Linked DNA regions of Drosophila melanogaster. The gene in region 3 interacts genetically with the main gene of each other region. Each region holds a gene or a part of one and is shown on either strand. Other genes may lie near its edges.

Region 1 (11,079 bases), about 20 Mb from region 3:
TCCAACATATACAGGAAGTTATCAGCAAGATTAGAGCGTTTCTCCGACTTGTCCATTCTCATATAAAAGCTTAAAAACTAGAAATTTGACAAAATTACTATACCAAAGAATTTGTTATGTGTTGAAAACGTTTTTAGAAATTTTCAGTCACTGAAACCTAATTTTGACGAAAAATAAATATGTTGAATTTTGAATTCAGATTTTGACGACGTGCCGAAAAGGAAAGACTGATTTTCGAAATGGATCTATGCGACTGAATGTAAAAGGCCTGCCTACGATTCAAAATATATAAATAAAAAGCTAAGAGCTCTGCATTCCTACTAAAATATCAACAATGACATTCTTTATATGATTAACACCCTCTGGGTAACCTGTACTCTTAACCTTTACTGGCCATCTTTTATGGTTGTCATAAACGCCATATACCCATATCATTAATTACATTTCACCTCCACAAGTAGATAGAAAGACGCCGGTCTGAGGTTTTCTAGCAATGCGTAAAATACTTTATTTAATGTCATTAAATGGTTCTACAAAAGTGATTGATCTACATTGCAGTTAATCGCAGTTAATAAGCGGCGCCTTCACAACTCCACTTCTTCCCGATCGAAACCCCAATCATTCCCCTTTTCCAGCCGCCTGAAGCTCGCCTAAGTGTAAGTGATCTGTGTATATAATGACTAACAAGTTGCAGAAGGGAATGGACTGGGGGGGGCTTTAAGACTAAACAAAAACAGAATAAAACAAAACAGAAATTGAGAGGAAGTCGAATCGATTACAGAATTGGTTTACAATTGTTCTTTCTCGGAGCAATGGGACAGTTTAGCTGCAGAGGTAGTTCCCAGTGACTCTGCTAGACGACACTAACGTCATGGGTCTCGAAAGGAGATGGGCGGAAAAAGCCGCGGCCACTGCACGAACTCGACGCCGTAGTGCAGGATGCCCGTGGCACTGACAGCGATCATTGCGCCCCAGAAGAGCATGAACAGCAGGTTCTCCGTGTTAAACTCGGCCGGATAGGTCATCGTGATCATGAACATGGCCACAGCCACAAGCAGCACCGAGGGGAAGGTGAAGAACCGCCAGCCATGCTTCGACTCCAGCGGCGATGGCACGGCACCGCCCTCGTTGTCGTTGACCAGATACTTTCCAAGGAAAAGATCGATGCTGTCTTGCCGCTGGCCATCGGCGAAGTTGTTCAGATAGTAGCGCATCAGCGAGTTCTTGCCGTCCTGCATGGCACCAGACTTGGTCCTCTTGCCCGTCCTGGTGAAGTCGGTCTTGAGCGCACACGTTCCGGAATATTGTAGCGACACCAGATCCGCGTTGTCCGCCCACACGCCCTTGAAAATGCTCTCGAAAATGTCGGAGGCATGTTCCACTTTCTGGCCCACATGAAGCACTCCCAGCTTCTGGAGCACCGCAGTGAGGGACCTGCGGGCCAGCATGCTCTGCACGACGTTCGTCCTATCGAGACAGTCGATACAATTCGTTCGGAAGACACCAGTCTGCGTGGACACCAATTTGCCGTCGTCGAAGACATGATAGACACCGAACTGATCCTGCTCATGGGCGAGGCGATCGATGAGTATGTTCAGCCGGTCCCAGCGCATCTTACGGCACTCGCTGTGGAAGTCGAAAGACTCGTATCGCACTTGTGGATTTCCCATTTCTCGAACCAGGCGGGCATAGGTCGCCTCGAGCTCGCCTTCGGCACCTTTGTGATCCACTAGATTCACAGCCACATTGTTGCCATACAGCCGGATCTGTTCCTTAAAGTGGAGCCCGCAGGCGGCCAAATGATCCTTGCCCGGCACCAGAACGGGTCGTGGCTTATAGCGCAAATTGGGCAGCTGGTGCCAGTGGAAGGGCATGCTGCCTCGTGTCTGCACGAATCCAGTCAGCTGCCCGTTGAACTCCACTATTTGCTCGGTCTCTACGAAGTTCGCAACATGGCCCTGCTCGTCGCTGCCTCGGCAGAAGAGCCGTGTGCCCGCCCGCTGCACGGAACGCCTGGTGATGATGCTCCAGAAGAATGTCTGCCCGTTGATCTGCACCTGGTTGATAGACACGAAGCCCAGGACGAGTGGCAGCTGGAACTTCTCCATCTTATCGCAGTTGAACTGCCGCAGCACATAGCCATTCCAAACGAATCGCTGCTCAGCGCGCTGGAGCAACCCGGATACTTCAGGCCGCGATTGTGCCACCTCCCGCTGTCGCTGCAGCGAATTGGTAAGGTCGTAGCGGTAGGAGAAGTAAAAGAACTTGGTGTCAAGTGTCTGGCGTAGCAGTCGCAAGTAGTTTTCGTTCTCCTTGCGCTGGAAGGAATTCGGAATGTAAGGTATGATGTCATAGCCCGCTAATCTCCACACAACTGCGCCATTGAGCACGCCCACGAAGAGGCGGTGGGTCGCCACCAGAAGGTAGTCGCAGCTCAGTAGGTGAATGGTTCCCAGCACACCACAAATCCTCCTGGTGGGGCGAAGGTTGGCCACAAGACCTCCGCTCGCTGGCTGAACCCTGGTGACTTTGTCGTGGCGCCCGATGACCAGCAACTCATCTCCTCCATTCGGCTCGATGATGAAGCTCTGCGGTGCGATGTACAGGTTCATGTCATCGTACACGGCGTTCTCCTCCCTGCTGTCCATGATTTCCGGGGGCGGTGGCTGGCCCACTTCGAAGACTAAGGGTTAAAAATGGGATAAGGGTTAATAGCTATAGCCAGTGCTGCTTCCTCTTTCTCTGCTCACTTCCTGTAATCGGGGATTCACTGTCGCTATCACCGCTGTCACACACGCACAGCACCAAAATCAGCCACACAATCAGGAGGTTACTCGTTCTTTATTGATTTAACACACAAATTGCAGTTCATCTGATTTTTGGGCCAACTCTTTGCCACTACGTGTGTGATAGGGATGGACCAGTTGGCTAAATAGCCGAATAGCGAATAGCTAATATATTCGATACTTTAAGATGTTCACACCCACTTACTTGCATGTGGTACTCCACTCCCGCAGTTGCACCAATCTAACCAGGATGGCATTTCCTCTTAGGACGGCATAATTTGGGCCTCGTAAGCTAAATTTTGATAAATCACCGTTTCAAATCTATTTTAAAGGAACATGGCTACTGAGGATGAAATTTTTGTTATTTTTTGAAATATACCAAAAGAAATACCAAGTATCGATACCACAAGTCGACGAACATTTTGGCGCGAATCCATCACTAGATCCCCAAACCAAAGAAAAACAGAGAGGATCAACAATGAGCCGACAAACAAAAATGTTCGGCGAGAAAGCCTTCGACCTGCTAAAAGAACTGGAGAGATCGTCGCAGACAATTCCCGCCTTCGACGACGATGGGGTGCGCCAGGTGCTGGAGGAGATCAAGGCGATATTCGAGGAGAACGTGGCCCAGGCCTCCAGCTACAATGCTTCCGGGGATCGCAGTCTGTGGCCCCTGCTCAACTTCAGGCACGCAGCTCTCCAGAGGAACAAGAGGTGCCTGCTGGCCTACCTATACGAGCGGTGCAGGAGGATCAAGGCCCTCAGGTGGGAGTTTGGACCCATTATCCCCGGGGACATCAAGCAGGCACTCTGCGAACCGGAGGTCACCTTCTTCAACAACTACTCCAAGTCCCTGGCTGCCTACATGTGCAGTGCGGGCTACAACCAGGGCTTGCCCATTGATCTAACCAACAATCTGCGTCCGCCCAAGTCACTTTACATCGAGGTGCGCTGCATGGAGGACTATGGGAAGTTCGAGCTGGACGACGGCGAGGTGATCCACCTGAAGAAGAACAGCCAGCACTATCTGCCCCGAGCTCAGGTGGAGTCTCTCGTGAGGCAGGGCATTCTTCACCACATAGCCTAGTCGGGATTATTTGATAATAAGAGTTTACTATACATATTTAATGGTTTAATGTAGAACAAATAAAAGATAAAAAATTATTTAATTCAAATAATTTGAACATTCTGTAGTTTTCCAATACTTGTATTTTTCGATGTTGGTATTTTCAGGGTGCCGTGTTGCGGTCACACTATTTGCGCATTATTTTAAAATTGAACGGACAACTGAAGACGCTGCTTCTCTCTGTTCTCATTGGAAATAGTGCGAAAATTGGTTTTCCACGCCAGCCTTCTGTAAATAGTAGTTACAGTTATCAGCATTCGGCTCGGTGGAAGGTGAAGCACAAGGATTTCCAGGAATCAAACACACACACACACGCATACCGATACACGCGACAGGCGTCATTTTTTGGACTGTACGCGCTAAAACCACAATTAATTGTTTCAATTGATCAATATGGACATATCTGGTGGGAATACGTCGCGCCAGCCCCAAAAGAAGTCCAACCAAAACATCCAGGTGTATGTGCGCGTCAGGTGAGTTTGTATATGTAACCAAAACCCCTTAAAAAGATCTACATATATCTTCTATATCTTTTGTAGACCCCTTAATTCTCGGGAACGTTGCATCCGCTCGGCCGAAGTCGTGGATGTGGTCGGACCACGGGAAGTGGTCACCCGCCACACGCTGGACTCCAAGCTCACCAAGAAGTTCACCTTTGACCGCAGTTTTGGCCCCGAGTCCAAGCAGTGCGATGTCTACTCCGTCGTGGTGTCTCCGCTGATCGAGGAGGTCCTCAATGGCTATAACTGCACGGTGTTTGCTTATGGCCAGACGGGCAACAATCTGCGTCCGCCCAAGTCACTTTACATCGAGGTGCGCTGCATGGAGGACTATGGGAAGTTCGAGCTGGACGACGGCGAGGTGATCCACCTGAAGAAGAACAGCCAGCACTATCTGCCCCGAGCTCAGGTGGAGTCTCTCGTGAGGCAGGGCATTCTTCACCACATAGCCTAGTCGGGATTATTTGATAATAAGAGTTTACTATACATATTTAATGGTTTAATGTAGAACAAATAAAAGATAAAAAATTATTTAATTCAAATAATTTGAACATTCTGTAGTTTTCCAATACTTGTATTTTTCGATGTTGGTATTTTCAGGGTGCCGTGTTGCGGTCACACTATTTGCGCATTATTTTAAAATTGAACGGACAACTGAAGACGCTGCTTCTCTCTGTTCTCATTGGAAATAGTGCGAAAATTGGTTTTCCACGCCAGCCTTCTGTAAATAGTAGTTACAGTTATCAGCATTCGGCTCGGTGGAAGGTGAAGCACAAGGATTTCCAGGAATCAAACACACACACACACGCATACCGATACACGCGACAGGCGTCATTTTTTGGACTGTACGCGCTAAAACCACAATTAATTGTTTCAATTGATCAATATGGACATATCTGGTGGGAATACGTCGCGCCAGCCCCAAAAGAAGTCCAACCAAAACATCCAGGTGTATGTGCGCGTCAGGTGAGTTTGTATATGTAACCAAAACCCCTTAAAAAGATCTACATATATCTTCTATATCTTTTGTAGACCCCTTAATTCTCGGGAACGTTGCATCCGCTCGGCCGAAGTCGTGGATGTGGTCGGACCACGGGAAGTGGTCACCCGCCACACGCTGGACTCCAAGCTCACCAAGAAGTTCACCTTTGACCGCAGTTTTGGCCCCGAGTCCAAGCAGTGCGATGTCTACTCCGTCGTGGTGTCTCCGCTGATCGAGGAGGTCCTCAATGGCTATAACTGCACGGTGTTTGCTTATGGCCAGACGGGCACAGGGAAGACCCACACCATGGTGGGCAACGAGACTGCCGAACTGAAATCCTCCTGGGAAGATGTGAGTGAACAAAAATTCAAATCAAAACCATATCAACCATATCAGCGTAGGGCCCTACATTCTCACTTTCGCAGTTTAACCAAACAAAAAAGGTCTTTGCCATTCTTAGCCATCTGGCTCAAGGCCATCGAAACCAGTTTTTCTTTTCTAAGAATCGCTAATCTAACCTTTTCCAATTTGTCTTCCCGCTTAGGACTCTGACATTGGCATCATACCGCGCGCTCTGAGTCACCTTTTCGATGAGCTGCGCATGATGGAGGTGGAGTACACTATGCGCATTTCCTACTTGGAACTGTACAATGAGGAGCTGTGCGATCTACTGTCCACCGATGACACCACCAAGATACGCATTTTCGATGACAGCACCAAGAAGGGATCGGTGATTATCCAGGGCCTGGAGGAGATACCAGTGCACAGCAAGGATGATGTGTACAAGCTGCTGGAGAAGGGAAAGGAGCGTCGCAAAACAGCCACTACGCTGATGAATGCACAGTCCTCACGCTCCCACACTGTATTTTCTATAGTTGTGCACATCAGGGAGAATGGCATCGAAGGAGAGGACATGCTGAAAATCGGTAAACTGAATCTGGTGGATCTGGCGGGCAGTGAAAATGTTTCCAAGGCTGGGAATGAAAAGGGAATACGTGTGCGGGAAACAGTAAACATCAATCAGAGCCTCTTGACTCTCGGTAGAGTAATTACCGCTTTGGTCGATCGCGCTCCTCACGTTCCATATCGTGAATCAAAGCTGACTAGACTGCTGCAAGAATCTCTGGGTGGCAGGACCAAGACCTCCATCATAGCCACCATATCGCCGGGCCACAAGGACATCGAGGAGACCCTGAGCACTTTAGAGTACGCTCATCGCGCCAAGAACATTCAAAACAAGCCCGAAGTCAATCAGAAGCTGACCAAAAAGACTGTGCTCAAGGAATACACCGAAGAAATCGACAAGCTTAAAAGAGATCTTATGGCGGCCAGGGACAAGAATGGCATCTATTTGGCCGAGGAAACCTACGGGGAGATAACTTTGAAGTTAGAATCCCAGAACCGCGAGCTTAACGAGAAAATGCTGCTGCTCAAGGCTTTGAAGGACGAACTCCAGAACAAGGAGAAGATCTTCAGTGAGGTGAGCATGAGTCTTGTGGAGAAAACGCAGGAGCTGAAAAAGACCGAGGAGAACCTACTGAACACGAAGGGTACTTTGCTCCTGACCAAGAAAGTGCTGACCAAGACCAAGCGACGATACAAGGAAAAAAAGGAGTTGGTGGCCTCGCATATGAAAACGGAGCAGGTTTTGACCACACAGGCTCAGGAGATCCTAGCCGCTGCTGATCTGGCCACTGATGATACTCATCAGCTGCACGGAACCATCGAAAGAAGGCGTGAGTTGGATGAGAAGATTCGCCGATCTTGCGATCAGTTCAAAGATCGTATGCAGGATAATTTGGAAATGATCGGTGGCAGCCTGAACTTGTATCAGGATCAGCAGGCAGCCCTCAAGGAGCAGCTAAGCCAGGAAATGGGTAAGCTATCTACAGAAATCAATTTGTATATTATTGTACATAAGTAAAATTTTATAAATCTCCAGTAAACTCGAGCTATGTGAGCCAACGCCTTGCACTAAATTCCAGCAAAAGCATCGAAATGCTTAAGGAGATGTGTGCCCAATCGCTACAGGATCAGACCAACCTCCATAATAAGTTAATAGGAGAAGTCATGAAGATCAGCGATCAGCACTCTCAGGCATTTGTCGCCAAGCTGATGGAGCAGATGCAGCAGCAACAGCTTTTGATGAGCAAAGAAATTCAGACTAACCTGCAGGTGATCGAGGAAAACAACCAGCGGCACAAAGCCATGCTGGACTCTATGCAGGAAAAGTTCGCCACCATAATTGACAGCAGCTTACAGTCTGTGGAAGAACATGCGAAGCAAATGCACAAGAAGTTGGAGCAGCTCGGGGCAATGAGTTTGCCAGATGCGGAGGAACTGCAGAATCTTCAAGAGGAGTTGGCGAATGAACGAGCTCTGGCGCAGCAGGAGGATGCTCTCCTTGAGTCCATGATGATGCAGATGGAACAGATCAAGAACTTGCGGTCCAAAAATAGCATCAGCATGTCCGTACATCTTAATAAGATGGAGGAGAGTCGACTGACGAGAAATCATCGCATCGATGATATTAAGTCTGGTATCCAAGACTACCAAAAGTTGGGCATAGAAGCTTCCCAATCCGCACAAGCGGAGCTCACCAGCCAAATGGAGGCGGGAATGCTTTGTCTGGACCAAGGCGTTGCCAACTGTTCGATGCTTCAGGTGCACATGAAGAATCTCAACCAGAAATACGAAAAGGAAACAAATGAGAATGTTGGTTCCGTTCGAGTGCACCACAATCAGGTGGAAATTATTTGCCAAGAGAGCAAGCAGCAGCTTGAGGCGGTGCAGGAGAAAACCGAAGTTAACTTGGAACAGATGGTGGATGCAAGGCAGCAGCTTATCACCGAGGACAGACAGCGATTCATAGGCCATGCCACTGTAGCCACTGATCTTGTCCAAGAGTCGAACCGGCAGTTCTCGGAGCATGCTGAACACCAACGGCAGCAGCTGCAAATTTGCGAGCAAGAGCTTGTACGCTTCCAACAGTCGGAGTTGAAAACGTACGCCCCAACTGGGACCACGCCCTCCAAAAGGGATTTCGTTTATCCGCGCACCCTCGTGGCCACGTCGCCACATCAGGAAATTGTGAGGCGCTATCGCCAAGAGCTGGACTGGTCAGATCTGGACACCACGGCCACTATAGATGAGGTAACCTAAAATCCTTCAACCTTGTATGTTGAAAAGCACCAACTTTTATGTTTCCAATCCGTAGTGCAGCGAGGGTGAGCATGACGTCTCCATGCATTCCGTCCAGGAGCTGTCCGAAACTGAAACCATAATGAACTCCACGCCCATTGAGCCCGTGGATGGTGTCACCGTGAAGCGTGGGTGCGGCACCACCCGCAATTCCAATTCGAACGCCCTAAAGCCACCCGTAGCTACTGGTGGAAAACGCAGCAGCTCGTTGTCACGTTCCCTGACACCCAGTAAAACGTCACCTCGAGGTTCTCCCGCCTTCGTCAGGGTAAGTCAAGTGCAAGTCCGCTAATGACTTAACAAATAAAGGGTGGGGATATATTATCATTGCTTTTATTTTCAATATTTTTAGCACAACAAAGAAAACGTAGCCTGATTGCATTCGATGACAGTAGTAGTCTCCCCTTCCCAGTAACCCGTTTATGTTAGTGGATTTCGGATCGCTGTGTTTGTTTGGCTCTTCTGGATATTCATTTTATCTGTATATCAATCTTTGGAATTTCGTACATTTATTATTTAAATAAACTCAGTATGCTATGTAAAGTTAAGGAAATCTTTAGTTCAAGTGCAGGTTTAAGATATATCAGAAGGTATTCTTAAACTTCGATACTATTTTTTAGGGAAGAAGTGAATTTGGTTTTTTAATGATGTCATGCCTTCCAAGGAAGCGCTTTATAATTAATATAATCTTAACTATTTTACTTATCATATTCTCGTTTGTGAATTTAAATTTGTTGAAGTTTTTTTTCATAAAACATTTAAACATATTAAATATCCATCTTTCAAAGTGTGTTCCTTATAATTAGAGCATCCAACATATTTAGGAAAAAACAGATGTCATAACTATCTATCTATCTATTACTAATCCTCATCCTGCTCGTCGTCATCATCCTTAAGAATGCCCAGACGGCGGGCTACCTCCTTCACATTGGCAATGAACTCCTCCTGGACCAGGTTAAAACTCATGGCCAACAAGGCAATGCCGAAAAGAAGGTACAGCGAGCAATAGGCGATGGACTGCTCCGACTCGTCCTTGACTCCTTTCGCGGGGACAAAGTCACCAAATCCTGTAATGCAAAAGCAGATGAAAAGAGTGCGCAAGGAATTGGGATAAACACAAACCGATTGTTGTCAGTGTAATGAAGCAAAAGTAGGCGGAATCCAAGAAGGACCAGTTCTCCCAGTACGCAAAAAGAACAGCTCCGCCAAGGATGTAGCTCACTACCAGAAAGACGCATAACCAAATGGGGACAGGTCGATCCTTGGGCAGCAGATCTCCATAGTCCCCATACTCATCCCCGTACATAGAGTCATCGTCGTCGTAATCGTAGCTGGGTCGCCGACGGATTTGCCGCTGGACCGGAAATCCCATTGGTGACATGATTCTCGGGGAAGGGGGCAAACGTTCAGCCCGCTCTCTTCGGCGATTTCTTTTTGGTTCTCGACTCCTTGAGTGGTGGCGCTCAGGCGGATAATCCTCGTAGTTATTGTCTCCGTAAAGGGATCCCTCATCGAAGCTCTCTTCCACGTAGTCCTCGTAGCGACCCTGGGAGTGACCACGCCTATCCCGTCGATGGTCCCGTCCCGGCGGTGGAGCATCATAGTCGGGAAGTTCGAGATGGTTGCCATAGCGAGATGATTGCCTGCCCAGACTTCCAGCTCGTCTATCATGCTGTTGGCGATAGGAGCTCTGCGGTGGCGGCTGTGGAGATCGTTCCCGTTCTCTGTCCTTCTGGCGTTGCCTTTGGTGAGCAGATCTGGGCATGGATTGACTCCTTGGAGCTGCTTGTCTTCTGTTGCCCCCGAAGTCATCTAAAGCATACCTATTTGGTATAATTGGTGTTTTCCTCACCACGTCCTCGTCGACGTCTTCGTAATGTGAAGAAACGTGCCTGGGATCCACGGACTTGGCCCTACTTCTCCCAGGTGCCGAGTGAAGACGATGCAGTTCTCTGGACGCTTTGGAAGATTCCTGATTGTGTGGCGATCGAACCGATCGCACACTGGCAGCTCTTTTCGCAGGAGGTTGCATGTCACCGAAGTCCTCAATGGATCCAGCATCCAAGTGGGATCGAGAGTAGCGCTCCCTTTCTACCGTGTGTCTGTCCCTCATCCGATCCCGTTGTCTTTGCCGGCTACTGTAGCGGTTGGATCTGTTCAGGGTCTGAGTTTCGTACCCATCTCCGTAAATGGTGTGACGCTGGCGAGGATCGTGATGCAAATGCTGCTGCTGCTGCTGACGACGATTGCGTCCGCCTCCACTGCTCCGATGTCCGAACTCGCGGTCATCGTAGCCCCGGCCCATGGTGCGCAGGTCGGGATCTGAATAGGCATGACCCATGGAAGGACCCAGACCCGAGTCATTCCCAGACCGTTGGGTCATCTTCATGGAGCGCCGGAACGAGGGCGGCGGCTGGGATCGGGCATGGCGCTGAGAGCGCATCGATCTCTGCCGGGATCGGGCATTCCTCGGACGTTTGGCCG
Region 2 (11,079 bases), on a different chromosome or scaffold from region 3:
CTTTGAGTTCTTCATTTCCGGACTCTAGCATATCTTTAGTTTCTTGCATGGAATTGAGCTTCAAGAGGAGCTCGTTTATAGACCCTTTTAGATTAGCCGCCTCACGTGTGAACTTTTCTGCCTGGTTTGCCATCCGCTCCTCGACATCTTTGAGCTGCGTTACCAGAGTCATTTGTTCGGCACTCGCGGTTGCCTTGGCATCCATAGCGGCCTTCAGTTCTTCGCGTAGCTCATTAATTTCCACATCTCGACTCGATATTCCCTTTTGGGAATCAATCAATTCCGTGTGCAGGCTCATCACTTTCTTTTGCAAGTTTGATGATAGTTCATTTGCCTCGGCAAGACAGATTTTTAGGCGTTCGTGCTGCGATACCAAATCGTCATAGAGAATGACTTTATGTTGTGCCTCCTTCAGGACTTCTTCGAGATCGGTTATCTTGAAAGTAAATGTCTCGAGCTTAGTTTCGAAATCACACTTTTCCTTCTCATTCCGGTTGCTTAGAACTTTCATTTCAGCTTGGAGTTCCTGAAGTTTTTCCATGGTGCACGAATGCTCTGAATTCGCTTTTTGAATCTCTGATTCCAGGGACAACTTCTCGAGCCTACATTTATCCAATTCCAGAACCTGCTGGTCACACTTTTCCTCGAGCTCAATAATCCTTTTCTTTGAAGAGGCCACAATCAATTCCAGCTTTTTAATATGTGCTTCTATTTCGAAACTGATTTGATCTCGAGTAAGCGATTCCATTTGCAACTGCTCCTGCGTCTTACTGCACTGCTTCTCTAATTCGATGTTGTCCTTTGTTAATTTATTGACTGCCAAGTCCTGCTCAGCTTTTGTTTTCTCCAACTCAGCAATGGTGTCTGACATGACACGTCCTCCATTTATCATCTGCTCCAGTGTCTTTTTGACCTCCTCAAGCTTCGAGGCTCCCTTATCGCGATCTTCTTTCGTTTGATTCAATTGCTCCATTAGGGTGGCTCTCACCTCGTTTATTTCCGCTCTAAAGGCATCTTCCATTTTTGATTGTTGGGTGCTAGCCTCAGCTAGCTTATTCTTAAGAGTTTCCCTGATAGTCTCCATTTCTGCCTGGTGCTGGACAATCAAATTGTTTCTTTCCTCCACAGCCTGAGAAATATTTTCTTTATGAGCAGATTTAAGCGCTTCCAACTCCGCCTGACAACGAACCGTAACGCTGGAGAGTGTCTCCTCTACCTGCAATAGCTTCTCCTTTAACTCGGCCACATTGCTCTCATAGCGATCCTTAGTCTCCTGCAATTCAGCGTAGAACTTGGCTTGGTTCTCTTTCTCATTCGTTTCAATTTGGAGCAGGAACTCCATTCGCAAAGCACTTATCTCATCATCTTTTATCCTTCGCACATCGTGTAGCTCATCTTTGGCTGCATTTAGCAATTGATTAAGTTTCTCGATCTGACTATCATATTGGGAGGAAAGTAGTATCTGATCCGGCTTTGCATCCGCAAGACTGAGAGATTCTGTCGCTTTATGATACTGTTCAACGAGCTGCGCGTTTTTCTTTTGAAGCTGATCGATAAGGCATAGGTCATCGGAGAGCTTCTGCGCCTGACGATCCAGTAGTTCTTGTTTTTGCTTAGTGTCCTCATCCAACTCGGCTAGCCTCACCTCCATCGATAAGCAGCGCTCACTCATTTCCTCAAAATCCGTCTGTAGTCTCGCTATGTTCCCGTCTTTCAACTGGATCTGCCTTAAATGGTTTTCAAGTTCTGCTTTTAGATCAGAAACTTGTGACTGCAATTCTGTTATGGATGTCTTTAGCGTGGCCACCTCCTGTTCTCGTCTACTGGGAGATGTAGGGCATCCTGGAAGGGTATCCTCGTCAGGTGGAACTCGGAGCAGACTCTCGCTCATCGAGCTCTCCCTTGTTACTCTATCCTGCAGCTCCTCGTATACCATTGTCATCTCCGCATTTTGTTTTTCCAGGGACTCGATCTGCCGCTGGTAGTCCTCAACCTTGTTAATTATAACGCTCTTTTCGAGGAGTGCCGACTCTAGGTTAGTCATCTGCTCTCGCATTTCATTGATGGTTGCCTCTGTTGCCTCCATAAGTGCACTCTTCTCTTCGATTTCCTGTTCCAGCTGCGAAATAATATCAAGCAATCGCTTCTCCTCTCCCATATCTACATGTTCCTGGCTAAGTCGCTTTATCTGAAATCTGTGTCGCTTGAGAAAGCCTTTGAGACAAATAGGTTCAGTTGCATCGGATTGACGATTGTCTTCCTCGATGTACTCAGCAGACTCAAGGCAAAGCTTAAGTCCTGGCTCGCTCTGATCCAGTTTCATTTGGTTGGCTCTAAAGAGGCGACTGATGCCGGAATGATGCTGCAGCTCTATCTGTTGGACGGACTCAGAAAGCTGAACAAACTGGTGTAGAAGGTTTATATCCTGCTTCTGTTCGTCAAAATCGGAGCTTATACCGGAACTCCTCATAGACTCCTCAACGTGACTCGTGGGTCGTTGCTTTATCTCCTCTCGCAGGGCATCGTTCTCCTGGACACTCTCCATCAGTTGATTGGAAAGGCAATCGTATTCCCGCTGCATCTCTTCAAAGTTCGTCTCCAGTTCTTTGATTTTCGCTGTAAGTTCGTGATTTTGTATTCGAAGCTTTTCCACAGTAGATTCAGAGTTTTGGACTTCCGTAAGCATGTTTTGGGCCTCCTCCAATCGTTCATTGAGGGATGCGATATCGGCTTGAAACTTCGTGTTGTCATTTTGAAGCCGTTGAAACTCAGCGCTGGAGGCACTTCTTGCCCTGCTTTCTAACTGCTCATACTCCTCCTGCAATTTCTGGTATTTCTCCTGCACGTGCTCGTGCTTTTCATGTAGGGTTGTGATGCCCGCTTGTTGAGCTTGCCACTGTTGGTCCAGAGCGTCGTACCTTTCCTGAAGTTGTCCAAAGGCATTCTGGGATGTGGATAGCTCTTTCGAAAGTCGCTCGCAATCAGTCGCCTTTTGGATAATCTCCGAGCTTGCCAGGTTAAAGGCAGATTCAACGCTCTCTAACTTGTCGCGAACAGAGACGATTTCCAACCGGAGCTGATCACACTCGCATGAATTTTTCTTGGACTCTAAATCTGCAATCAGCTTCTCCAGTTCCTCACACTTGTTGCATATACTGTCGCCGGCGATGTCTTCCTGCTCTGGGGCAATGGAAAGCATGTGGCCCTCCTTGCTGTTCCGTAAGACATCGCGGGTTAAATTGTCGAGGGACTTTTGAAGACTCTCTATAGTCGACTCCTTTTCTAAAAGGGCAGAGAGTAAGTCATCCACGCGAAGTTTCGATGATTTCTTGTGAGCCTCAAACTCAAACTCGAGGCCCACGGCCACCTGATTTTCCACTTCCATTATTCTCATAGTCTGCTTTAGAGTACTCAGTTTCTCTTCCAATTCGCTGATTTTTGAATTCGCAGCCTCATTATCCGCTCTTAGGCTGGTTACTTCCTTTTCCAGAGCATCATAACTATAAGAAGATACACAAGTAGTAAACTATTGTTAAACACTAAAACTATAATAAAATAAATCAAACAAACAGGTATTGTGGAGTGGTGTTCTATAAACAAAATTTACTGTTAAAAACTGAAACATATACTTAAGTGTTTTGTTTTTATAGAATGGAATAGAATATCGCTGCACTAGTTTTACAGATTTGTATGAATAGGTATGTTAGATTTTGGGTTGACTGCTTAAAGCACAAAAGTCGAGTTACGTTTACATCGTTTTTTACGATGCAGGCACTATGTTTTGGACGACAGATTCCTTGACAGAAAACACCTCATTAACTCACCGCTCCTTTTCGGCTAACGATTCTTGCTCTAAATTATCCCGCTGTGCTGTAACCTCGGCCAGCTTTTCTTTTAAACCCTGCACCTCTTCGCACTCCACCTCAAAATGCTTCTCTAAGCTGGTGAACATTTGCAGGTCCTGGATTTCCTTCTTGATTTTATCCGTTCTGTGCAGGCAAATAAGTGCAGGGATCGGGTCGGGGTATGTGGATGCGATTGTTATGTGATGAATGTTATGGAGGATGATCAAAAAGCTTGCAGAAGTACTTACGTTAAGGGACCCTTGGGAGTGAGGGGCAGGTCTGGCAGTTGCCTGATGGTCAACATGGGTTTGAGGACATCTGGGCGAGGGGAGCCAAAATCAATGCATTCTGCCGGGAGAAATTCCTCACTAATGGAGTTGCTCTCGGTACCGATATCCAGGGAACCCAAAATGTTTATGGTCTTTGGAATGTTGTCCCATCGTTTGCCTGCATTTGAAGTGTGAAAAAACACTGGTTTTGGAAGGTGTGAGACCTTTGGAAATTGGTCAATTCGATCTTCAGTTGTGCCGGTCTCTGCTAGCTCCAAATGCGATCCCGATGCAGTGGGACACCAAGTACGGCGACGCTTCTGCTGACCCTTGTCGCTCAGGGAGTGACCACAGATTATCTTGTGCATGTCGTGTTTTATTTGTCTCTCCAGATGCTCTACCTTTTGCTGGTTCTCGTTTTTGCGCTCTTCTTCGGCCAGCTTATCCTTAAGCACCTTTATTTCTCGCTCCAGCCGCTTCATCATTGTGGCGTCAGATACCATCTCGTTGACTTGGGGCTTAATGCGAATTTTCTTGGCTCGCGTGGCGAAACTAAGGGTAGACTGCGACTCTTCCATGATCGATGGTTTGATTGTGCAAATGATGGATGTGAATGCATTGCCGCCCAAAGAAGCCTGCAGAATGCGCGTCAGCTTGGAATCGCGGTAGTTGGTAAATCTATTGTCCGCGTTTTCCGACAGACTTTTGATAACGTTACTGAGAAAAAGTAAGCTCTTGTTTATATGACCGCCCTCTTTGAGGCGCGCTCCTCGAGCACCCGTTTGGTCCGCCCGCTCTGACCCAGCCAGATCCACCAGGTTCAACACGCTTTGAATCACTGCGTCGTCATCGCTGTGGTCCGACTTTCGGGACTCGATGATCTGTGGGATACATGTTGCAGATTATCGGAAAGAAAATAGCAGGCTGCACTTACTATCTTAAATATGGCATGCGAACGGCTGGACCGCTCGTTCATGTTCGTCTCGCCCACGGTGCGCTCCTTATTGCCCAAGCATAGCAGGCGCAGGAGGTCAACCTCGCTGGTTATGATGCACTCCTCGCAGTTCACATTCACAATCCCATTTCCGGACTCATGGATCTTGAGGTCCTGATTCTTCTTGTTCAGCAGATCGTAGATCTTCTCGTTGTAGATCTCGATGTAGCCCACGCGCAGCAGAAAGTCCCGCTCCGTCTCACTGGAGATCTGTTGAAAGATCTCCTTGGCGGCTAGCACCATGACGCCCGGATTCTGTTCGTCGCCCATCATGGTGTACGTCTTGCCTGAAATGCATGCCCGGTTTTAGGTATACCGCCGCGTATATATAGCACAGTACCCACCCGACGACGTCTGGCCGTAGGCAAAAATAGTTCCGTTGAAGCCCTGCATGCAGGCGTGCACTATGTGCTTGGCCATCCGGTCGAACACCTCCTGGTTGCTGGCGCCCTCGTCGAACACATAGTCTGCCAAACGGAATGGAATGTAAATGAGATAAAGGTCTTGTGGATCAGGATACGCTCAACGCTCTAACCACTCACCGAAGACATAGGGCTCCGCATGGCTGTCCGCCAAGTGGATGGAGCGGCGCTCCTTCACCTGCCAGAGTGAAGTGAGCCCGGGCTCGCAGGGACGCACCTTGATGCAGACCTGGATGGAGCTGGCGTTCTTCGCAGACATCTTGGCGCCTTCTTGGTCTCAATGCTTTATGATAAACAGAACGCAGTTCATAAACAAACATAAAATTCAATGTTTTACAGTAAACAAACATTGATCGACATCTTTGTTGCTCGTTAAATTCGAACAAATGCCGCTTTGCAAAATCAGGGATGTATATGCTTCGATATCTTCGAGTGGCGCTAACGACTCGATAGATAAATCGGTTCATCGATTGTTATCATAGTTCCAAATAGGGCTGCAAAAATAAAAACAGAAACACATTATGTTCTTATCCCACAGGGCTGCATTAACATTCCTGATCAAGGGTCGCTACGGCATATATATATTCTAAGACGTTGTGTTCTTATTGGTAGGGCATGCTAACTAACAAAGTTCTATGACTCAATACTTTAAGGTCAAACAGAAAATAGAACAAGCTCTTAAATACATGCGAAAACTACGGTTTAAATTTCATATAAGTTCGTATTTTTTCTACTAATTCATAACTTCTATTCATAGCACACATATAATGTGGAAAGTATTTGATTCCAAAACAAATATTTGAAATAAATTATAACTAAGCTCCCTAATATAACCACTATAATATTTTCCAAATTTTCAATTTTCCTATTTTTTTTAATAGTGAACAACTGGGATTATTATTCCAATGAAATCTCATGTTTATATCAGACAGTATTCTTCTGTATGCATTAAACAATCCCCTCAGCTTTTGTCTGTCTGTAAGTAAGCATTTAATTTAGCGGTCTTTACTATTTTGGAAATATAGATAATAATAATCTATATTATATATCACGAAAAAGCTCGGAAAAAGTTTTATGTTCGAAGCCTATTGGATTATATTTTCATATTCGCCGAAAGCTCCTCAAACTTTTAAATTGAACTGGCTCGCGCCTATTTACTGGTTCCGTATTTCGATCTGGTTCGCTTCCGAAGCGGTATTTGTTCGAATTTACAAAGAGAAACTAACATGTCGATCAAACTAGCTTTTATAAAACGTTAAAATCTGTTTGTGTCTGTTCATTGTGCATGTCAAACACGTTTCCCACAAGTCGCAAAGATGTCTACGAAGAACGCCAGCTCCATCCAGGTCTGCATCAAGGTGCGTCCCTGCGAGCCCGGGCTCACTTCACTCTGGCAGGTGAAGGAGGGCCGCTCCATCCAGTTGGCGGACAGCCATGCGGAGCCCTATGTCTTCGGTGAGTGGTTAGAGCGTTGAGCGTATCCTGATCTACAAGACCTTTATCTCATTTACATTCCATTCCGTTTGGCAGACTATGTGTTCGACGAGGGCGCCAGCAACCAGGAGGTGTTCGACCGGATGGCCAAGCACATAGTGCACGCCTGCATGCAGGGCTCCAACGGAACTATTTTTGCCTACGGCCAGACGTCGTCGGGTGGGTACTGTGCTATATATACGCGGCGGTATACCTAAAACCGGGCATGCATTTCAGGCAAGACGTACACCATGATGGGCGACGAACAGAATCCGGGCGTCATGGTGCTAGCCGCCAAGGAGATCTTTCAACAGATCTCCAGTGAGACGGAGCGGGACTTTCTGCTGCGCGTGGGCTACATCGAGATCTACAACGAGAAGATCTACGATCTGCTGAACAAGAAGAATCAGGACCTCAAGATCCATGAGTCCGGCAATGGGATTGTGAATGTGAACTGCAAGGAGTCCATCGTAACCAGCGAGGACGACCTCCTGCGCCAGCTCTACATGGGCAACAAGGAGCGCGTCGTGGGCGAGACCAACATGAACGAGCGGTCCAGTCGTTCGCACGCCATCTTCAGGATAGTGAGTGCTAGATTCTTGTATTAATCATATAATATGCAAGATTATTTCTACAGATCATTGAGTCCCGAAAGTCGGACCACAGTGATAACGACACCGTAAAGCAGAGCGTACTGAGCCTGGTGGATCTGGCTGGATCCGAACAGGTGGACCCCGCGGACCACGCATCCAGCCTTATGATTTTTCGCAACTTGGTTAAGAGCCTCTCCGAGAGTGTAGATAGCAAGCCGAATAGCTTTCGCGATTCGAAACTTCCGCGCATCATGCTGCCTTCGCTGGGTGGAAATGTTTTGACCTCTATCATCTGTACAATTACGCCATCGTTCGTGGAGGAGTCGTCATCCACTATAAGCTTCGGCACGTGTGCCAAAAAAATTCGTTGCAAGCCGCAGGTCTGCAAGATAGACTCTGAAACCACGATGATGAGGCAACTTGATCGCGGGATCAGTATGTTGAAGGATAAGCTTGCTAAGAAGAAGATCAAGAATGAGAGCCAGCTGGTATTGCAGGAATTGGAAGGTCGCATCAAGCGCGACATGTTGAAGATCGTTTCCAGCGCCTCGCTTGACGACTATCGCCTCCAGAAGCGTCGTCGTACTTGGACTTTAACCGCCTCAGGCTCAGAAGGCGACGCTCCTGTTCTCGCATTGCCTGAGCCAGAGGAGTCCCGTCTACCGCGTCCTTCGAAGCTGACTAACCTGCCGAAACCCTTGTTTCAGCGGCGGGGGATTGCTCCCAAAGCCAAAGGCATTTGTAAAACCCTAAAGGAGAAAAGGTTACAAACGGATAATATGGACACTATGCCTGGCCGGGCGAAACAGTTGGGAAGAGAGACAGCTAGCAGAATTCCTTCAGTAATGATGTCAAAAAAGTATCAGGAGTCGGTGCCGAAGTAAGTAAATTTATGAATTATTTATTTTACTTTTAGATCTAGAGTTATAAAAAGATTCAAATGAGTTAAACAAACGAAACTACATAGTATTCTACGCGACTATATCGTTTTGAAAAGTACTTTAAGTAAGCAATTTTGCGCATTTTGAACATACCAACTCACCTCTTGCGCGCACTCACCTGACACCTGAACTAAAAACGAGGTGGAGACGAGTGCGGCGTGCTCTTCTACTCGGCTGTCTTCTCGTGCGGTCTTCGCTCGCTCTTCTTGCTTTCTCGCAGCAGTCGCAGCGAAGAGGGCAAGCTGTCTCAACTGGGAGTCCGATCGCGAAGAAATCGAAAACAAAACAAACGCCAACGCAAATAGCCGTCGAGAAGGAAAGATTTCTGGGGGAGAATCCGGGAGCGGAAAGAGGCGAGGCGACGCCTGTTGTGAGCCAGTTTTGCGAATAGACTCGGCTGGATGCGATGTGACGCCCCAGCTACGATCGCTTTGTGGCCCTGGAAGCGCGATAAGGCAGTCAGCCGATCGACAAGGTAGTTAACTGGCCAACTTCTTGATAATTTGATCGCTGGAATTCCGCAATGCTCATTGTATTTGCCGCTGTCCGTCAGTCAGCACGCTTTTCCTCCGCCCATCGCTCTCGCGCTCCTCCCCCGATCGTCTTGGGTGATCGATGACGTCGGCCCTACTGTCGATCCACCAACGTTATAGACTGTGATGTAACGCATATAGATTGGCTAACCGAAACCGAAAAAGTGAGTGAGTGAGTGAGTGACTTGGGTAAAAGATCTGCGCTCAAAATAATAGCACAGTGCAGTTGCACTTCTGTTTCGTTTGCGAAAATAAACAATTTGTGAAAGGTGTTTAGATTTGAATCTTTAAAAACGCTTCTATTTCTTTGACCATGTTCGCGTAACCCACACATCTCGCCTGGTGCAACTTCAACTTGAATGCCGCCAGCTGCTTCTATTTTTAGTGGTTTTTTGTGAACGCCGGATTCCCTCAGACAGCACCCATTTAGCTAGGCAGAGTAAATAGCTTTTCGTAGCCATGCGCGCACTGGAAATATAAATAGAGTTAAAGTATATTTATGGAGTTCCTGAATTTACGTATTCATTCAAATCCCTCAATTTTCCTATCAATTACAGCTGCGATGCCCCGCAGACCGAGATCTCTGCGCTTACTGCATCCAACCAGGTAGCAAAGGAGACGATCGAGAAGTACGAGGAGCAGGTGAAGAGGCTAAAGGAGACAATTGAGCGGCTGGAGATGGAGAACGGCAAGGCAGTCAATCTAGGGGAGCAATTCGAAACACACAAGGCCAAGTCGAAGCAAATGGAGGAAGAACTTCTCTCCTCCATCTCCGAAAAAGATTCGACCATAGTAAGTCTGCAACAGTCCCTTGAGGAGCTATCTCGGGATGTGTTGCGAAACAGCAAGGAGGATCAAATGCGATCCATGTGCCCCGAGCTTGAGTCCAGCTGCGAGCGGATCTGCAACAAGTGCCTGGAGTTGGAACGGCTACTGCCCCTAGCGAGTGCCTCAGGACTGGACTCAGTCGCCTGCCAGTTTGATCAGTTGCGATCGGAGATTGCTGCCACCCGTATGAAGTTGGAAAGTATGCTGTCTACTTTCAGCCATGCAAGCTGTGAGGTATCACAAAAGACCACTGATTGCAAACGGCTCTCCGAACAGATATCCACAGCGCATGATGACTTTGGACAATTGCAGGAAAAGTACAACAACCTGAAGCATAAGTGGTCTAGTCAAAAGCTGGCCATTGATACCATGCAGGTTGACTACAATACTATACAGCAAAAGTACCTACAGCTGCAGGACGAGTATAGGCATCTGGAACTCAGATCGGATGAACAGTGTCAGCAGCTGCAGGATGAAAATTCTAAACTGCAAGCCGAGATTGGAACTCTCAAGGAGCGAGTGGAGGAGATCCATAGTGAGCTATTAGAAGTTCCCAATCCGGATACTCATCCAGAAGATATGGAGCTACAAAATCAAGAGCTGAAGAAGCGCCTCTCCAAGTTGCAGTGGGAGTTTGACGAGATCCAACTGAATTACGAATGTCTATCCAACGAATTGATGAGTACTATTCAAGAGTGCGATGCACTCCGAGAGGAGCACAAGCAACGAACAACGAACTCCGATTTGGAATCCATGAAGAGTTCGGGTGTAGGCACTGAGTGCAGTGATCCGGAAAACGAATTGGACACTGATCTGCTGCAACAGTTCACCAAGCTGTCGAAGTCCATCCAACAGATTGAGCTCACCGACTACTCCGGTGGCAGGCGCCTCTTTATATATAACCATGCCGAACAGGATCAAAGCGTGCCAAGCCTAAAACTTTGCCTTGAGCCTGCTAAGTATTTAGAGGGTGATGGTAAACAACATGATGCATCCGACTCCGTATTCCTTAAAGGCTTTCTGAAATGCCAAAGATTTCAGATTGTCAAAATAAATCAGGAACAGAATTTGGTGAAAGAGGAAGACCGAATGCGTGATATCATTTTCCAACTGAAACAAGAAGTTGACGGGAAAAAGAATCTAATTGAGGAAGAGAAAGAAGTTATTAACAATTTGCGTGC
Region 3 (11,079 bases):
TGGGAAGTCAGGAGAACTCTTTTGTGAATCGGGGTCTTGCACATCTCTTCCTGATCCACAAATTCAGTCAAGGACATTCCCGGCGTGATTGCATTAAAGTCCGGACCCCTCGGCCTAAACTGCGGGCTTTGAAAGTCCATTGATTCGGACATAGCAATGGATTGCTGAGTCTTGGCACTGGGAGGAGTGCCTATCTCTTCGTTTTCTACGGAATTTTTAGATGAATGAATGGGTCCTTCTGGTTTTTCTAGCTTTTCGGAAATTTGGTGCTTGGTCCTTATGGGGTAGTTATGTCCGAATATCCCCTCATCCTCTTCCATGGGTTCCGATAAAAGTAGCGTATGTCTTCTGGATGACGGAACATCAGGAACCTGGCTTCTTTGGGGTAAAGTCTCTTCCACGGATTGTGAAATTTCTGGTCTGTTGGAATCCAAATCCTCGATGATAGGCTCCGCCGAAACCTTCGAGCCCATTGATTTATTTTTAGAAATTCGAGTGTGTTGCGCGGGTACATCTTCTTCTATGGACTCAGTCAGCAGCGTAGTTCTGCCCTTCACCGCAGGTTCGGATTCTCTTTGCTGTTGGCCCGGAATATGATCCTCCTCAATGGGTACCGGTATATGCACGGATTGTCTTGTTTTGGCAGCCATATATCCACCGGACTGTGGAACATTTAAAGAGTCACAGATCCCATTTTGTTTGGTCATATTGTGGTTATTAACATCTTCTTCAATGGGCTCTGCCATGATAAGGGTCTTTCTGTACCTGGACCTCAGAGGCCCCACTGATGAGTTTTCATTTACGGGTTCTAAATCCTCCTGAATAGTTTCATGCGAGATGAGGGTATTCCGCGGCTTCTGGTGGAGATAGTTTAGGGGTTCCTTGGGAGGAGTTTGAACCGATTCGGAAAATTGCTGTTTAGCTATTTGATCAGTAATTGAAAATAGGGCATTTTCAATGGGCTCGGCGAATGACTGAATAATTCTGGCGGTCAAAGATGACTCCTTTGAATTTTCCAGCGGCTTACGAACACTCAAATCCTCTTCAATGGGTTCGGCAGTAATAAGCGTGTGTCGTCTAGAGGTCTTCCTAGTGATTTTATCCTTAGATATAGGAAGTGGCTTTGGCTGATCATTTGACTGATTGAAAACATCTTCCTCTATAGGCTCTGCCATCAGCAGAGTTTGACGAGATTTGGAAGTTTGAAATACCGCTTCTTCAGAAGATTCTTTAGTAAATTGACCTATTTTTTCAGCGATAGACTTATTGCCCTCTTCCTCTATCGGTTCCGCCATCAAAATGGTTCGCCTCGATCTTAACGTTCTATTTGTGCTGGCATTCGTACTTTTATCTTCGTTAGTTAGTTCTTCTTCAATCGGTTCGGACATCAAAAGAGTGTGTCTTGGTCTGGAAGTTGACGAACCAGTGATGTTAGTTTGCACCCTACGTTCCGTTTCTCCAACATCTTCTTCGATGGGCTCTGCCATGATGAGCGTTTGCCTTGGCTTGAATCTTTGCTGTCTAGCTAAACTATCCTCCTTTTCAGCTGGCAAGTCCTGCTGAATATGTTCTTCTTCAATAGGTTCGGATAATAATAGCGTGTGCCTCGATTTTGATCGCTGCTGCTCGGTTGATTTATCTATTGTTTTTTGCGACACTATTGACTTATTCTTTGGCGGTGGAAGACACATTTCCTCCTCTAAAGGTTCTGACAAAAGGAGAGTTTGTCTGGATTTAGCGATCTTTCTTATGTGGTTCTCTCCAGGTTTGGCAATATTATATTTATTGTTAAATTCCGTGTCCTCCTCCATGGGTTCTTCGATCAGGAGGGTTTGCCTAGCTTTGGATCTGCTTTGCGAAGTGAAACTCTTCCCCTGGTTTAATTGACTGTATTTCTGAGGTCCAGTCTTGTTTCCCTTTAAAGCACATTCCGGTAAATCTTTCGCATTGTGAAATATTTCCTCCTCCACGGGCTCCTCGAACAAAAGAGTTTGTCTACCCTTGGATTTGTTTTCTTGATGCGCGACTACTTTTATTGGTATGTGCTTTTCCAAAATGAAATCCTCTCCCTCCACCACCAGAGGTTCCGCTAAGTGGAGAGTCTTTCTTTTGGAATTGTAACCAATGTTACTGCTCATTTCCTCTTCCATAGGTTCCTCTAATAGCAGCGTTTTCCTCGCTTTAAGTTGTTCTCTAGGGGCAACATTTTTAGTTGGTAACATATTACTTTGGTTTATGTCCACTTCCTCCAGTGGTTCTGCTAGATACAGCGTATGGTTCACTTTGGATTGCCCTGTATTCATAGGAGCCGCATTGGGCTTTAATTGTAAGTTTTTGAGAGGGCTAATGATGTCCTCCTCCATGCTTTCCTGCATCAAAAGCGTCGCCCTGCGCTTGGTTTTAGTGCAGGCCCATGTGTTGCGATTTTGGTTGCTGTTCTGCTCGTTGGTTGTGGATTTTTCGTAGATAGTCTCCTGCGTGGTAACCGATATCTCCTTCCTAACGTACGTGGATTTCGTTGTTTCATGATCCATAGATTCATTGAGATGTAAGGTGCGACGCGAGGTAGCAGTTTTCAATGCAGGAATAGCAGGGTAATTTGTCTGACTGAGCTGCATTTCTTCAGCCATAAAATCAGTTTTACGAGTCTTGGAACTCGGAATGGGTTGAAAGTCCTGACTTAACGTAGGATATTCCAAATTCAGTTCCGAGGTTTCGCAAGTTGTCTCCCTTCTTGTCGAGTTCTTCGACGTATTTCTCGACTGCGTTTCGTCGCCTAGTCTGGCGTGGGCCAAGAAGTTTGTATTGTCAAGCATCATCTCATCCGCCTGGGATAGTCGATACTTCTGCTTCTCATCCGCCGCCTTTAGTTTCTCCTTGTTCTTTCCAACTGGACTTGTTTTCGTCGGCGTCAAGGTCATGTTCTCACTGAAATTTAACATTCCTCGTGGCACTATGCTTCTTATATCTTTCTTTGGACTATTATCTCCCGCGCTCTCCTCTTCAAGGCCGCACCAAAACCGATTTTTCTTGGCCTTACGATCCGTGGTCGGCGTTTTTGGCCCGTTCGGAAATATCTGGATCTTACCCGTCTCCAGGTCTTCGTTGAGTTGACGAAAATTGAGTTTCTTGCTTATGTTTTTCCCCGAAATCATGTCGAATGGTATCAGCATCGACTCATCTCTCGTAAAGTTCATGGTGCTATTAAGGCTCTCAAAGGAGTTCGATGGCGAACGATCTCGGTTATTGGAAACTGCAAAATAATGTGACAACCGAAAACTTGCTAATTAGAAACTATTGGGAAGGGATTTAACTGAGATAATACTAACCATTTAATGAGAAGGATGCACCTCCAGCTCCCTGTTGGGTTTTATTCTTGGTCTCCCCCACGTCCATGAAAAGCGATTTCTGCGCCGGAGTTTTTGTCTGGTTTTTGGTGGACTCACGCATCTCCCTTACAATGCTGTCCTCTTCGAGCTCCATTAAACTTTGTTGAGTTGGAGGATATAGAGTTGCAACTGGAGCTGGAGCGGGAGCAGCAGGATTGGGATCAGTAAATCCCAATGGCGTGATGTCCATGAAGGAGTCACTCACAGCCTTGACAGCTGGCGTGAATACCACCTTCTCCAGTTTGTTTGTTGCCACTTTGATGGAGGATTCCTCACAAACGCTCGACGCGATTTGGTGGCGGTTGACGAGAGATCCGGATATCAGATCCATGGTCTTGTCTACCAGCTGGCGGTCGCTGAGACTGCTTTGCAACAGTTTTCGCTCCTCGGAGGTCATGCAAAAGGACACAGCAGAGATTGAGGATGTCTTCCTCGATTTGTCCATCATTTCGCAGGGCAGCAGGGTGAAATCCACGCTGGCCTGCAGATTCACGGACAGATCGACATGTTCCCGCTCGCAGTGGCTGGGCAGGGGAATGTTCTCCTTGTCGGCATGTTCGGAAACCCTCGCTACTGATGCTGATCCTGTGCTGCAGCACTTCGATCCCGAGCTGTCCTCAGCATGGTGTTCCGACACCTCGTACGAGTCGTCCCAGTTGTTGGTCTCCTTGGTGTTTACGAATTCCCTATGTGGAGGGCGGGTGAGCGTTGTACATCGCATATATCTACTGTACGTACCTCACGGACTTCTTGCCACTGAAACTGATGCGTCGCTTGATTTGTTGTTTGATCGCGGACGTTGTTGTGGTCGCCTCATCTTCCTTGGTCGGCACCTTACGCAGCTGCAAGAAGAGTAGGTCTACCATGAGCGCTTCTCAATCAATTAATTTTCGAAGAACCCACCGAACTTCTGCGTTTGTTTGCGTTCATCGCGCCGTGCTGTTAACTTGTTTTTATTTCAAAATCCCATTGGAGAGACGCCGCGATTTTTGTGTTAATGGCAGACGGTGTTGCCAGATCGTTGGCGATAGATCGCTAGAAATACCAAAAGTATTTTTGATATGCCCAAAAGGCACTAACGCCTAACCAAAACCGTTGTGATTCAAATTTTACGAAATTTGCTAAAATCTTTGGATTTAAAAAATTTGTTAAGTTCATTGCTCTATGAATAAAGTTGGAATCAACCAGTACCCTCTTCTCTAGGGTGTTGCTAGACCAAAATACCAAAAATAAATTCTTTTAAATAAAGCTGAAGAAATAAATTTATGTCATAATTTGAATAAAACAAAAAAAGTTTTAATCCGATAAATTGCGAATAATTAAAAATCCATTGTCCGCACTTCACACACATCGTTAATTTTATTAACCATTAAAATCCAATATTAAATCACAAGTTTCGAAACTTTCGAGGAAATAGATCAGGCTTTGAAGGTGTCCTTTTCCTTGCGCAGCTTGCCCATGGTGACGACGGGATCGGTGGCTCCGCCAGCGTGCTTCTGCACGGTGGCTTCGTGAACGCGCATAAAGGGGTTCCAGGACTTCTCCTCGCCAATGGTGGAGGGCACAGTGGGATCCTGGGAGGCGCGCCGGTGCTTGGCCCACTCGATCCTCTGCTGGATGACCTCGTTGTCGGGCTCGACGTGACGGGCGAAGCTCATGTTCTGCAGCGTGTACTCGTGGCCACAGAACACCTTTGTGGCGTCCGGCAAGGCGGAGAGCTTTGTGCACAGCGCCTCGTACATTTCCTCGGGAGTGCCCTCGAAGAAGCGGCCGCATCCGCCCTGGAAGAGGGTGTCGCCGGTGAAGACGGCTCCCTCGCCGCTGCCCTGCTGCGCGGTGATGTGGTAGCAGATGTGGCCGGTAGTGTGGCACGGCGTGGACAAGCACTTGACATGCAGACCACCAATGGTGAAGGTGTCGTCCTGCTGAACCTTTTTGTTCAATGCCCCGATGCGGTCATCGCCGCCATACACGTCCAGCTCCTTCTCCCACAGCTTGAGCAGCTTTTCATTGCCACCGGCGTGGTCCCAGTGATGGTGCGTGGTCAGCACCTTGCTGAGGGTCAGCTGCTGCTCCTGCACCGTCTTAATGACCAGCTCCGGCTCCACGGGATCCACCACGGCCGCCTCGCGCGTCTTCGTGTCTACAATCAGATACATATAGTTATCCTGCAGGGCCGGCAGGATCTTGATCTCCATGCCCTCCAGCTGCACGTCCTCCAATGTGCTGTGCATGCCTCTGAAGCCGACTTTTCGTAGTTTTTGCACTGAAACGAAGCGATGGTTTCACATTTAGCTACATAGATGGCCAACAGATAAACAGACTGACTAGCTACGGACGAACAAAAAGCGTAGATACTGGGAAATGAAATTGCAGCACCGGGAGAGATTAGATTAAACACGTATGTACGGATAGATTACGCTTGACGAGACTTGGACAGATGACGGGCACAGCCAGAAAACGCCGCCGAATCGCTCCGAAACCAGGGGCATCCGCTCGAGGAATCGTCCGCCAGGAACGCAGGAGCAGTGTCGGATTGCTGGACGAACCTCGGAAGTAGGTGGCCGTCAACTGGGTCTCCACGGAGGTGGCCACGCTGCGCCAGGCGGAGGCCAACATTCTGTACTTTCGGCTAGATAAACTGAAAAGCGTGTGCGATTCGAAATGAATTAATTATGGCTCCTAATTACAGTTGTTTTTTTCTCCAAATCTGCTATGCTCGGGCGAGTGTGACCGTTTGGGGGCCGGTAAGGGAAACCACTGACGGGTACACCATCTACCGGAAATATACCGAAACATACCTGCAAACGTAGTGGTGGCTCAAACCGGAAATGAAAAGTTTTATAGCACAGACATAAGCCAATAATAATAAAAATACATTTTTATATTAAATTATATATTCTTGTCTCTAGGCCAAAGAGTATATGTTCTCTTCTGTGGTAAAAAGCTTATAAGTTAACTTTTTGGCACGCCTAACTTGAATTCAGATCATATGTACGAAAAAGACGTCAGTTGGCTTTGAAGCGGCACGTCATAAGTTTAGAACATAAAGTCACTATGTCGGAATCAACCGATCCCCATTGCGCCACCTCCAAGTCCAACCTGATCAAGGTGAACCACGTGGGGGTGACGGCCAAGCTGCAGTCTCCCCTGAAGAAGATCTTCCCACGGCTGAACTCCTCCAGCGATTCCGACGCATATCAGCACAGTCAGACGCAGTACAACATGTTCAAGGATGTGGCGCACGGGGAAATGACCGCGTCCACGGATTCGGGGAGCTCACCACACACTCTGTACGAGATGCACGCTGAGCCGGGGAAGAGTCAGCTTAGCCTGAGCAAGAGCAAGCCCCAAAGGATCGAGTTCCAGCGTTACTCCAAGCGCCGTCCCCGTGTGCTCGTCCCAACGAGAACTGCGCCGAAAGTGAAGGGTCGTGCCACAAAGTCCCACAAATCATCGCAGGCGCAGAAGCAGAAGCAGAAGAGTGGCTTTCTAGCCCGTTTAGTGGAGTCGCTGGACAAGATGTGCAAGTGCCAGCCGCAGAGCCGAAATTCCATCATCGACGATCTGCCGGAGCCACAGTGGAATCGCAAGGAGGCCAACCGGCACACCTGCATCGGCATCTATCCCTTCGAGCATGGCTGCGCCGACTATCTGAGCACCACGGACTCGCATCCGAAGATCAATGCTATTGTCCTGGCCGACCGCGCCACCACCTATGCCACCCACTTCTGGGCGGAGCTCTTCGGACTGCTGCACATCGCCGTGGCCTTCGTGGTAGCCTTCATTCTGCAGAGCTACCGATTTGTCCTCTACTCCCTGGTGAACACCCTGATCGTTGGACTGCTCCACATGACCTCCGACTACTTGCTCAAGCCCCTCCTGACCATGCTCTTCAACGGCTACCTGCAGCCACCACTGATTTTCCTATACAATGTACTGTGCTCCGCCAGGGACATCCTCGATCCGGTGGCCACCACCCTGAACAACTTGATGAAACCGCTGGCCACGGTGGGCGGCAGTATACGATTGGTGGACGTCAACTATCGCCAGGTCCATAAGCTGGCCAAAGAGGTTTGAGTTTCGTTTCGTTTACGCTGTTAAATTGTTATTGTTCGTTTTCGAAGTGCTTTTCTTGTTATATTAAAAATAAGTACGGACTTTATATAAATTCTACTCATTTTAAATTAAGGATAGAAAACTACAACTGCTTGTACAAATGTAATATAATGCAATATATAATATCAGGCAATAATATTATTAAATACATATTTTTTATATTTGTATATAATCAATATTTGTATGAACTATAAATTTAAAAGGATTCCCCCATTGAATCTGTTTCATTTCAATTTTGTTCCGTTGACCGTTTTGTTTCACTTCCACTTGTTCCCGTAGGCGGAGCCATTACAACCCCTAAAACTGAAGAAGTTTTTCCACCTCGCAGCCTTCACACAATATTACGCACATTCCAAAAAACCTTCTCGGATTACATTGTTTTTCTCGTTTCACAGAAGTGTAGGCATGGTGACCCACCCCTGCCCCTCGGAGAAGGAGAACTTAGGGGTAAGTTCTGGCTCAATTACGTTGAATGAAACATTTATGATTTATTTGCTCATTTTGCGGCCGGGGAAAGCATATGTCCAAAATAAAAAATAAAAAACACACTAATTGTGTCCCGCGGGAATTTCGTTTGGCAGCGCATAATTAGTTTACAATTTTCGCTTAATAAAGTCGTTAGAAAACAACGATGCACAAGAGAATTTGAAATCCCATTTAAAGCTAGCCATAAATAATATAGAACTTGAATATAAATAATATATAGTGAAAATATTAATATCGTTGGACAATTTTTCTCTATGTAATGGTGAGAAACAGCCGTCTTTTTTTTTATCAATGGTGCTTTGATTTTATCAGATTTCATTCTTCAAATTTTCATTCATTTTTGGCCAAAATTTCCCAAGAACTCTGCATACCAAATTTAGAAAGAGCAAATAAACAAATCTGATCTAGATCAGGTAGAATGATGGAAATCAGTTGCCAATCTGCTCGGGTTTCCGACTTTCAACAGAATTCCTATCCAGAAGGTAAACTGCAATCAATAATCATATTCAAATCTGGTCAGGTATACAAATAGCTGAAGAGTATTAGGTGGAAAAGTTGTAGTTTTGTTGTTTAGCGGTCGCGTTGAAAAAGGAAACAAACACCAGCGAGCTTTCCTCGACGAGAACAATGAGCTAGCTGGTTGCCAACTAAGGATCGTCTTACACCGCCTTCCGAGTTCTCAATGGGAAAGTGAAATGGACCCATGGAACTCGGCCGCCCAATTAGCCGTGGAAATTGTTTGGCTGTTCGGGAATCGAAAATCCCAGCATATGTTCGAAATTACCGAAGGAAAGTCGCGACTGATTGATTTGCGTTACTAAGTGGCGGGGAAAATGTGAACCGTTTTCCTGCTTGTTCTGATTTATTTTAGTGTCTCGTGATGTCTGTCCCCAAAAATACAACATCAAAGTATTTTCGACCTAAAAAGACATGACTTCTAAAAGTTGAAGATATTCTGAATGAGTATCAACAAGTTTTTGTATTATTTTATAGCCTTTACAAAACATGCTGTGTAGGTCAGCCCAACTAATGTTAAGCTAATTGAAATTATTTTGTTTCAAATATTTTATTTTATTAATTACACTGCGTTTGCTTAGTTTCCAAATCGTATTAATTGGATTGCCTTGCGATGTGTCTATAAACACCTTTTGTGTGCAGCGCGTAATGCTCAAAATATTTTCCAGCTAAAGGTGCGAAAATCATTTGGCATCGCCAGACGAAACTCCCACACAATGCCCATTATTGGGTGATCGACAGGATAAAGAGATCGTGCGAGTGAATGGGAGCAGACAGGATAGCGACAAGGTGACACCTTGCAAAACGCATTGTTGGCCGTTTCGGGATTACAGATGGTAAGCTGTTTCTGCTCTATTTTCTGGTCTGAATCTGGAATTTTGGGATTAACCGGGCAGTTTTTCCATTCTCCTGCCGCAGGACGATGACGTTTGCTAAATATCCTGGAGCGTCCCGTCTCTTTTTGCGAGAAGTTAAGCAATTTGTTGAGCGTCGACGGGACAAACAATGGGCTACAATGGAAGGCCATTGAAAAACTATTGAAAACGATGGGCTGGCCAGCCACAAATGGTTATGCAAGAAGTTACTGGTGAGCACAACGATTTGAGAGGAGCTATGGAAAATTGAGTAATAGTCGCAGATTATCGCAAAGTGCTTGGAAATTCCGGGTATCTACGGTTATTATAATGCTGGATGATGCAAAAAAGGGAACTCAGATGAAATGTGAGGAGCTACTTAAAAAGTATTAGCCAGGAAAGCCAGGAAGTAGTTGTGGTTGAAGGAAATGTGGATTAGCAAGATTTCAGATGGGTAATATGCAATTTAGCACTGGCGAACAAGTAAATGTTATCAAATGTTTGATAATGATAAATATGCTTTCACTCATCCATTTACATATGATTTTTAAATGGAAAATCCTATATATTTCTTTACACTTTTTACTTTTTTTTTTCTTATACACCCACATTTATACTCCTAGTCCCAAGTTTTCTATTATTTTTCGCCCAAACTTGTAGTACTTTTGAATGCCTTTTGTGCGCTTGCAATATTTTTGAAACAGACACCAGGCGAGCGAGTGAAAAATTCAGCTTGGCTCAGCTAAACCCGATAGTGTGGGAACCAAAAGACGCGTTTTCACAGGGCTTTGGAAAAACATAAAGTATATGAAGTATAATGCTTCGTTTGTTTTGCCTAAGTCCTGACACGTGATTTGATAATGAAATTAGCGCGGATGGGATTACAATCCTTTCACTGCGGTCAATTAAAGGGCACACCTTGGCAAAGGGGAGTTGCTTAGCAACATTTTAAATAGGTGATTTATTACAAGGGGATGATAAACAACAAGATGTACATATGTACATATGCATAAATAAATCAATTTTAAACTTGCCCAAAATTAGTTGTTTAAATGCAAATATGGGTCAATTGCTATATGCTCGCCATTGTAATCAGCTGAATATATTTTCAAATGTCAATAAAGCACTTTAAGGATCTAACTACATATTAAACAAACTGTTTCGAATCTGGTTCGAATGCAAGGACACATGAAATTAAATAATCCCCGAGTAAGTGGACCTAATCCGCCATCACGCTCGACACCTGTGTGATCCTGTGATGAAAACAGAAGGGATAGGAAGTATTGAAGTATTGTTCGGGGGGAGTGCTGATGATGTTCGGTGTGACAAATCTGGGTTTTTGGGACTGCGAGTGTGACGAAATCGTCAACCCTCACGGTTTTTGGTGCTAATGAATTCCCATCCGACAACAATCGGAATCCGAGGAGTGCTCCTGTTTCTATTCCTGCTCCTGCTGCTTTAGCTGCTCCTGTTCCCGGGGGCAACGCAATTGTTTGGCCTTTTTGTGGATTGTCACCTTTGTCATGTCACTTTATTTCATTTTATTCCATCACACCATTTTGCGCCGAATGCAGTCGAGAGCAGCGCTTTGTAATTGAAATTTGATCGCCTTGGATGCGCAGCAGAAGGAATTTTTCCCAAACTCAGCCTCAGTCGAGCATCAAATTGCATCGCGTCTGACTTTATACCTATGTAAGTACACACATATATGCATA

Evidence for each region.
Region 1: of Spc105R (region 3) and Klp61F, changing one suppresses a phenotype caused by changing the other (phenotypic suppression), as found in Drosophila melanogaster (one study listed by BioGRID).
Region 2: of Spc105R (region 3) and cmet, changing one suppresses a phenotype caused by changing the other (phenotypic suppression), as found in Drosophila melanogaster (one study listed by BioGRID).

What each region holds. Positions count from the first base shown.
Region 1 is NT_037436.4:1,239,860-1,250,938, reverse strand, and holds Klp61F (Kinesin-like protein at 61F), read left to right. Parts: upstream 1-5,028; 5' UTR 5,029-5,298; coding exon 5,299-5,378; intron 5,379-5,444; coding exon 5,445-5,745; intron 5,746-5,938; coding exon 5,939-7,271; intron 7,272-7,336; coding exon 7,337-8,547; intron 8,548-8,611; coding exon 8,612-8,863; intron 8,864-8,913; exon of another isoform or gene 8,914-8,947; coding exon 8,948-8,971; 3' UTR 8,972-9,371; downstream 9,372-11,079. Other genes in the region: Bfc (booster for Crq), read right to left, coding at 1-62; Sac1 phosphatase, read right to left, coding at 870-2,648; Psf1 (partner of Sld five 1), read left to right, coding at 3,265-3,873; CG32318 (uncharacterized protein), read left to right, coding at 4,306-4,385, 4,452-4,866; galene, read right to left, coding at 9,457-9,662, 9,718-11,079. UniProt on the Drosophila melanogaster protein: Important role in mitotic dividing cells. Microtubule motor required for spindle body separation.
Region 2 is NT_033779.5:11,263,058-11,274,136, forward strand, and holds the start of cmet (CENP-meta), read right to left. Parts: upstream 5,946-11,079; 5' UTR 5,790-5,945; coding exon 5,651-5,789; intron 5,576-5,650; coding exon 5,453-5,575; intron 5,396-5,452; coding exon 5,049-5,395; intron 4,996-5,048; coding exon 4,094-4,995; intron 3,990-4,093; coding exon 3,825-3,989; intron 3,501-3,824; coding exon 1-3,500. Other genes in the region: cana (CENP-ana), read left to right, coding at 6,847-6,985, 7,061-7,183, 7,241-7,587, 7,641-8,476, 9,628-11,079.
Region 3 is NT_037436.4:20,793,719-20,804,797, reverse strand, and holds the start of Spc105R (Spc105-related), read right to left. Parts: upstream 4,389-11,079; 5' UTR 4,320-4,388; coding exon 4,293-4,319; exon of another isoform or gene 4,256-4,292; coding exon of another isoform or gene 4,232-4,255; coding exon 4,128-4,231; intron 4,076-4,127; coding exon 3,330-4,075; intron 3,254-3,329; coding exon 1-3,253. Other genes in the region: tzn (tenzing norgay), read right to left, coding at 4,808-5,655, 5,810-6,008; CG3698 (uncharacterized protein), read left to right, coding at 6,447-7,469.